Linked DNA regions of Macaca mulatta. Each later gene encodes a partner of the first gene's protein in a complex. Links are inferred from orthologs where the notes say so. Each region holds a gene or a part of one and is shown on either strand. Other genes may lie near its edges.

The links.
Region 2: the proteins of MAPK8IP1 (region 1) and MAPK8 are in contact, whole or in part, in a crystal structure (PDB 3VUM), measured with the Homo sapiens proteins. The link is inferred for Macaca mulatta from reciprocal best matches to the Homo sapiens genes MAPK8IP1 and MAPK8. Residues at the interface, in NP_005447.1 of Homo sapiens: Arg157, Pro158, Lys159, Arg160, Pro161, Thr162, Thr163, Leu164, Asn165, Leu166; in NP_001310257.1 of Homo sapiens: Lys83, Asp112, Ala113, Gln117, Val118, Met121, Leu123, Glu126, Arg127, Tyr130, Tyr133, Val159, Lys160, Ser161, Asp162, His286, Val323, Trp324, Asp326, Glu329.

The regions. Positions count from the first base shown.
Region 1 is NC_133419.1:19,718,589-19,722,402, reverse strand, and holds part of MAPK8IP1 (C-Jun-amino-terminal kinase-interacting protein 1), read left to right. Parts: intron 1-836; exon of another isoform or gene 837-1,236; coding exon of another isoform or gene 1,237-1,307; intron 1,308-2,435; coding exon 2,436-2,541; intron 2,542-3,814. UniProt on the Homo sapiens protein: The JNK-interacting protein (JIP) group of scaffold proteins selectively mediates JNK signaling by aggregating specific components of the MAPK cascade to form a functional JNK signaling module. Required for JNK activation in response to excitotoxic stress.
Region 2 is NC_133414.1:60,723,320-60,726,969, forward strand, and holds part of MAPK8 (mitogen-activated protein kinase 8), read right to left. Parts: intron 1,840-3,650; coding exon of another isoform or gene 1,835-1,839; coding exon 1,689-1,834; 3' UTR 1-1,688. UniProt on the Homo sapiens protein: Serine/threonine-protein kinase involved in various processes such as cell proliferation, differentiation, migration, transformation and programmed cell death.

The DNA.
Region 1 (3,814 bases):
TGAAACTCTGTCTCAAAAAAAAAAAAAAAAAGTGCAGAGGTCACTGACAGAGCAGGGGCATTTGAGGGCACCTCTGGGTCAGCAGTCCTGCAGCTCTCCCATGCCATCTGAGTCCCCCTTTGCACCACTGGCCTTCTCGGTGACCATCTGGGCAGCCAGTGTGAATTGAACACTTACTTGGTGTCGGCCACTGGGTTACTGTCCCTGAGCTAGAGATGCCACCCTGTCCTGGACGGATGCAGGAGGGCTGCTCTGGCTTCTGGGCCAGGCCCTCCTCCCCAGTTCCACCCCAGCTGGCCGGCCACACCCTCCCCATGGCCCGGGGAACCACCACCCTTGGGCTGCAAGTCAGAAGTGACCCTACAGGGCACCTTGTCCATCCAGCCCCCATCCCCCACCCCTCTGTGCAGTGCCCTCCAGGGGCCTCCAGGTTCTGTTTATGTCACTCCAAAGGGACAGGAAGCTCGTTACCACCCAGCAGCCCTTCCAGCTCTGCTCTAAGGGCCCAAACACTGGCCCGCCCTTAGCTGTGGCTCTGGCGCCTCCTGCATCCATAGGCCCTGCCTTCCTGGGTCCTGAAGGCTTTGAGCCCTGGCTGCAGGAGGAGGCAGCCCAGATCAAATCCAGTCTGGATGCATCCTGGGCCCACAGAAGCCTCCCAGATGAGGTCGGAGGGCTGAGCCTATGGCAGTGCGAACGGAGTGTTCATTCTTGAGGTGTTTGGGAAGTGCCCCCTCATCTCCCACCTGGCACCCTGACTGGGGCACTGGCCCTTTAAAGCCAATCAAGGGCTGGCTTTTGGGGGGAAACATCCTAGATTTCTGCCATCTACTTACAAGCCTGGGCCAGGGAGGGGGGCCACCTCAGTCCCCGACAGGGGCATTGGAAGGGCAGGTGGAGCCAGTGGCATTGATTGAAGTAACCTGATCCCGTGAGGGAGGCGGCCACAGTGACAGCAGCGCAACGGCCAGCTGGGAGGAAGCTGCCTGCAGCTGAGGGCTGCGTTGGGAAGAGCTGGGGCTGGGACCCGGGTCGGCAGCTGCAGCCTCCTCTCCTGGCCTATCTATTTTTAATGAGCTCCCCAGGCTTCTGCAGCGGGCAGGACGCAGAAAGACAGGCCCAGGCGGTGGAGGCCAGAGGCCCCCAGCCCTGCCCTGAGCCCTGGCCCCCGCACCCTTCTGGGCATGAGAGGGCAGCCCTGGGGCCCCGCAGCCCCCCTGCCGGGCAGGGCTCTCCATGCAGCTGGTGCTGAAGATGGATTCGAGCCCAGACAATGACAGCTGGTTGGAGGATCAATGGGAGCGCTGGTAGGGGCTACCGGGGCTGGCAGGGGTGGAGACCAAGCTGGGGTGAGCTCCATCGAGCTCAGGGTCTCTATTTGGTCTGATTGAGGCGAGCGGCAGGGAGTCTAGGCCTCCTAGGTTCCCCTGGGGGCTAAGCCACCATCTCTCCTGGGTGACCTTGGACTCGTGGGTTTCCCTTGCTCTGTGCCTCAATTTCTTGGACTTATCTGGGAAAAGCCTCATACATTCTTCCCAACTTCCCAAATGTTCTACCCTCCAGCAAGCCAGGCAGAGTGCCCAGGACTAGAGGTGAGCAAGAGACAGGCTGCCTTGCAGTGGCTAGCCCAGCTCTGCATTCTGAGGTGGGGACTCAGGGCTGGCCTAGGGAGAGGGGGGTTCTGGTGAAGCTGGTTAGTGTTGTAGTGCCCCGGTGCTCTGAGCTGTCTCCTGAGCTTATAACACCTCTGATTCCACCTGGGGCTTTTCCTGACCCCATGTGTGCAGCCTCCTGTTCAGGGTCCTTACGATGGAAAAGGAGAAGATTTTGTGGTTGAAGAGATGAGACCACCAAGTGCACAGCATGAGGCTATAGTCCTTTCTGGAATAGGCTGAAACTACCCACACCAGATTTTCCTTCGCTTGTTCCCTGGGCTCAAGGGGCATGAGTCTTCCTGAGCTGGGGCGTGGGGCCCTCCTTTGAGGCTGCTGCCAGCACCTCGGGTCTTGCTACTGCAGAGGTTGCACTGGGAGCTCTCCTACTCCAGGCTTGCTGCTCTTCTCAACTCCATGGATTCTCCATGGTGAACTGGCCTTGGCACCTGCCTTGACCCTGGGAGGAGGCTCTGACCAGTTAGGCCTTCTAAGCACTGCCTGCTGGTTGGCAACAGAATGACAACTCCCAGGGAGGAGCTGGAGTAACCCAGAGCCGCCTCTTCCGCTGCCACCCTAGGAGGATTGCCTTTTGGCCCGAGCCCCATGCTCTTTCCCTGCCTGCTGACTACCCCCTGCATTGACACAGATGGACCCCAAATCCTGTCCTCTGGGGGCTGTGTTCGGCCTTCAAGAGGCTGCCCCCTGAAAGAGGTAACAGGGAGATGTGAGCGGGCATAGCAGTGCCCCTGAGTTGTAACTTTGGCTTCCTGTCCCCACCAGGCTCACCCACGACATCAGCCTGGAGGAGTTTGAGGATGAGGACCTCTCGGAGATCACTGATGAGTGTGGCATCAGCTTGCAGTGCAGAGACACCCTGTCCTTACGGGTAAGGGTGAGCTCCCAGGAGCTCCTGAGTGGGGTGGCAGGAAGACTAGGGACGGGGTAAGGGCATCCCCATATCGATAAAGGGGTTTCAGGTCTGTGCTGGCACCCTCATGAAATGAAATGATGTGCAAGAAACATAGGTATACTGCTTGGCATGTCTTGGGTGTACAATCAGAATTTTATTTATTATTATTATTATTATTACCGCTGTCGGGGACTAAGGCAGGAAGTAGCTCCTTCAGCTGCCCACAAGATGAGAGAGGTAGGAAGTCTTGAGACCTAGGGCATTAACAATTAGGACCAGACTTAAGGGAGACTCAGGGCTACCCTAAATCCTTTTGGGAGCAGCCCTGGAAAGGGCCTGAGGCAGACAGGGTGGAGTCTGGTAGAATCTGCAGTGCTTTGAGGCAGGAAGAAACAGCCAAGGCACTCCTGGAATAACTCCTGTGGCTGCTGGCTGCTATACACCAGACAGATGGCACTGCATGGCCTCCCAGACCATCTCTGGCCCCTAGTCCTAAAGGCCCCCACTGAGGAGTTTGCCCAGCATTGCTGCTGGTTTGGGCCCTTGGCTTTGTCCTAGGGAAGATGACTGTCTCCTGTCCCTAAAGATCTGAATGCTGCCAGGAAGTCCCCAGCACCTGGGGAGCTGCGGTCAGATGGGGATCCCAACTATGTCTTTTCAGAACAGGAAGAAGGGGCTGGCTAGCCAGGAAATGGAGGACAGAGCACAGGGGTTGGTTTTAGAGCCCAGAGCTCCTCTGAGCCCCCAAGAGGGCAGGTAGCCAGATATGGTGTCAGGAGAGTGGTTACCATAGGAGCATGCATTATGCCTTGGGGAGGGGGTGCCTGTCTCTGTGTTGACCTCCTGCTACCCCCAGAGACTCAGTAAGCTCTGCCAGGCAAGAGGAAACCAAGGGGTGTGGATAACCCCCTAGTCCCCAGTACCCCAACCTTCCACTCTCCGGCCAGGCCAGGAAGAGGCAGAGGCCTCTAGATTTGGGGAATGGTCTCAGGGCCCTGACTTAGCTTCTCAAAGGTCAGGCACCTGTTCTGGACTCTCACCCTGCCCTCTCCCCCAGCTGCACTAGCAGAGCCTTGGAGAGGGTTGCCCCCCAGCTAGGCAGGGCCCCCAGGCACTACTGGCCAGAGGTGTGCCCCTGAGGGGCCTCAGACAAGCTCCAGCGGGCTTCACACACGTTCCAGTGAGTACTCAGCTCTCTTGGAGGTTGGGAGGCAGTAGTGTTGTCCCCACTCAACTGATGAGGGGCCTG
Region 2 (3,650 bases), on another chromosome or scaffold:
CGTATTTTAATCTTAAATATTGCACATTAACAATGATGTAAAATATCTCATTCAAAAGGAATTTTGCACTAAATATATGAATAAAATGCCAAGCAAATTTTCAGACACTGCATGTTAAGCCACACCTGTTCTTCCCATTGGTCACGAATTCCAAGGGGCTTTCTGCCTAGAACCTTGCTGCTTATGTGAGTATGCATTTCCTAGTTCATTACATGAAATCCCTCTTGTTCCAGAGATCATTTAAAAGGTGCCTGGGTCTATTACAGACACCGTATTTCAGAAATAACGAGACTTCAAAGACATTTTACTTGGGAAAAGTTCAGTTATAGAGAAATAATTCTGCAGATAGAAAATGTAAACAGTTAACATACACTTGTCAGGAGCAGCACCATTCTTACACTACTCGACATCCACATTGCATGTTATGTTGAAAATCAGGTATAAAAAAATAAAAGACTCAGACTAAATAACCACCATTTATGCCTGCTCTGCTCAATGTGAAGAAACAGTCCTTAGAAAATGACATCCTATATATGGCTGTGTGCTACTATTTTCAGATGAACGGTATATTGCTCATTTGATACATCACCTACACAAATCTAGGTAGGCTTTGGAACCTCCCAATAGCTAGTATAAATATGATTATGCTACAAGTAGAATCAAATGGCCAGAAACACCAGAACAACTGGTGTTCAACTGATAGACACTCCAAGTAATAGGAAACCGGAAAGGTCCAAGGGCCCGAAGCTGCAGGAAAGGGAAAGACTAGACTCTAGAACATTGCTGGGACCTACAGCCTGAGTAGATTAACTCAGTGTATACAAAAACAGGCTCATAGCTAGTAGAAGTGAACCATCTGTTTATTTGCATTGAAATGTATTATTCATGAAGTATCCTCTTGACTTTATGTGATCATAAACTTTGAGCATGCCACAAATTTGCAGAATACACCATGTTCTTTTTACTTATTTCTGTTGGGTAGGGTGGGGACATAAGGTGGTGGTAGATGCCCAGCATCTTCAAAGACATGCTCTGAGTTATTCTGCCACTTAGATGACGGGGCTTTTGCCAAAATTAAGTAGGATTGCCTACCAATTCTTGTAACTAAATTAGGATTGGCAAGTAGCAAATATTGGAGGTCTCCTAACACGTTCATCATTTACAGTAGTTATTCCTGAATATAACTGGCTACAAGTTATTTTCCCTCACTCCTCTGGGGTTATTTCATTGATAAGCACATAACCCTGAAGGATAGTATCATGAACAAAACATCTGAAATAAATTCTAATAAAAAAAACTATAAAAATCTTAAATAATTCATGATATAGGCAAGTCACCACATAATAGTTGCTTTGATAAACAAAATCTTACAAATTCAGTTAAAAAAATCAGCAGCATAAGATAAAGCAAATATGCAAAAAATTTAAAACATGATAAAATAATTAGGTTTACATTATACAGTTAATTACAGCAAAAAATACAATACAGTTTTGTTGCTGTTTTGAAACACAACTTAGGTTTTAAATTACATCACTTGAAATTAAAAAAAATAAACTACTTTACTACAAAATGAATTCTACATTTTTTGAAAAATCACTCAAAAATAAGACCACTGAATTGTTTTCAAAGTAGTTCTATCAATGACTAACCGACTCCCCGTCCCTCCCACCCCCCCACGGCCCAAGTAGTCATCTACAGCAGCCCAGAGGCCCAGCTGATGCTTCTAGACTGCTGTCTGTATCCGAGGCCAAAGTCGGATCTGTTGACATTGAAGACACATCATTGACAGACGACGATGACGATGGATGCTGAGAGCCATTGATCACTGCTGCACCTGTGCTATGAGAAACAAAACAGCAAATCAGTTGCAGACAGCTGCAGATCGAGCTACTTGCACTGCACTGCCTGCCTCTAGTGGTAATTTTTTCTCTTGGGTTTAGAAGGCTCACTAAAAATAATCGCAAATGATATCCAATACACTAAAAAACACTCTTCATTGACAGCTATGAGGTGAGAATTCTGAAAATGTCTAGAATCGTGGAGTCCTATCCTTTCAATGAATGTGTTTTCCAGTTTAAGACAAGAATTTACATCTGAGCCACATTTAGAAATGGTCCTGCAGCAAGATCCACAAATGGGCTTCAGGGTACGTGTGAATACTGCTGATAATACATGCAAAACTGTCTGTAATGCCTTTTTTTGGACAGAAGATCTTAAAGGACTGTATAACTACAAAAGTTAAAAGCTACTTCCCTACAAAAAAGTCTTTATAGCTTTGCACTAAAAAGGAAAAATTCAAATGATTCAAATTTGAAACAAGATGTACTTCTGGCACATCTTGTTTTAAAGCAAGCGCCAAGGAATAAAATAATTTTAACAGGAAGAAACCTTAATTCAACTGCCCCAGTTTATACAAGGTTATGGGACATGACAGTGTCACTCAAATGGCCTAGTTAAGTAAACTTGGGTCTTCTTATTTCTACGCTAATACTTGATAAGTAGAAATATGGATTTATTAAATAGATAAAGTAGGAGCAAACAGTTTCTTTTGCCGAAAGTATTACCTAATAAGGACTTCCTGAATTTTAAAAAGTAACACGAATACCTGAGCTCGAGACAGAAATCCTCTCAAGGGGATTGGTTTAGGAAGGGGACAGGAATGACTTACACTGGGGTATAGAGAAAAAAGGTAACTCATGCACTAGGCTAAGTACTTTTAAACCACATGAACACTAAATAAGGGTCATTCCAAATTTGAATAACGCAAGTTACTTAAAAGTTCTCAAGAATACATTTATGAAATAAAATCAATGGTCTTCAAATGGAACACTGAGCAGAATTTCTGAGGGTGAGGTTCAGGCACCCAACGATGCTGAAACCAAATATGGCTGAAAACCACTGCTCCTGAACCCAGCATCTGTATTTGAGATCATCTCTCCATTCTGTCCAGATAAGCAATAAAACACTTCAATATGAAAGGTCCTCTGCGAGCTTTTCTTCAAATGCAAAAAGAAAACAGGCAGTGTAGTGGGAATAGGAAAATCTTTAGGGAGGGGACTGGGAGACAGAAAGGAATGGAACCACAAGAGACAAAGCAGGTGATGGGAGTTGAAACAGAAGAGAAAAGCAGGATGAGTATTTCAGGCCTGAGAGATGAGAGGTAAAATAGGTGATAATCTCCTAGACCCAAGAAAGGTCCATTAGCTTCTCAGTCAGAGTGAAACTGAGATAGTATATTCTTTTTAGTTCAGTCAATACTTGGAATGAGCCTTTTCTGACTGAACAGTATGATACATCTGTGTAACATACATAGTACACAATGGCTAGTTTCTAAGACTTGTACTGAAACATTCAAACCATAAAAGGGATCCAACATATATAATTTTTATATATGCCTCTAGTTCAGGGTCTATTATTTTATCCAAATGTTTTAATCTGATAAAAATTAACTTTTAAATGCATTAACTTTTTAATCTAAAAATCAAGTACCTAAGGAAAAAAAACCACACACTTGTTTTTTCTTTAAAGCAATACAGTAAATTCTCAAATATCTGAATGGTAATAATATAGAAAATCATTAGTCTCAGGTGGGTCATTCCTCTCTCAAGTGAGTCTCTACACACTCAAGGCAGGCAAACTTACTTTACTAT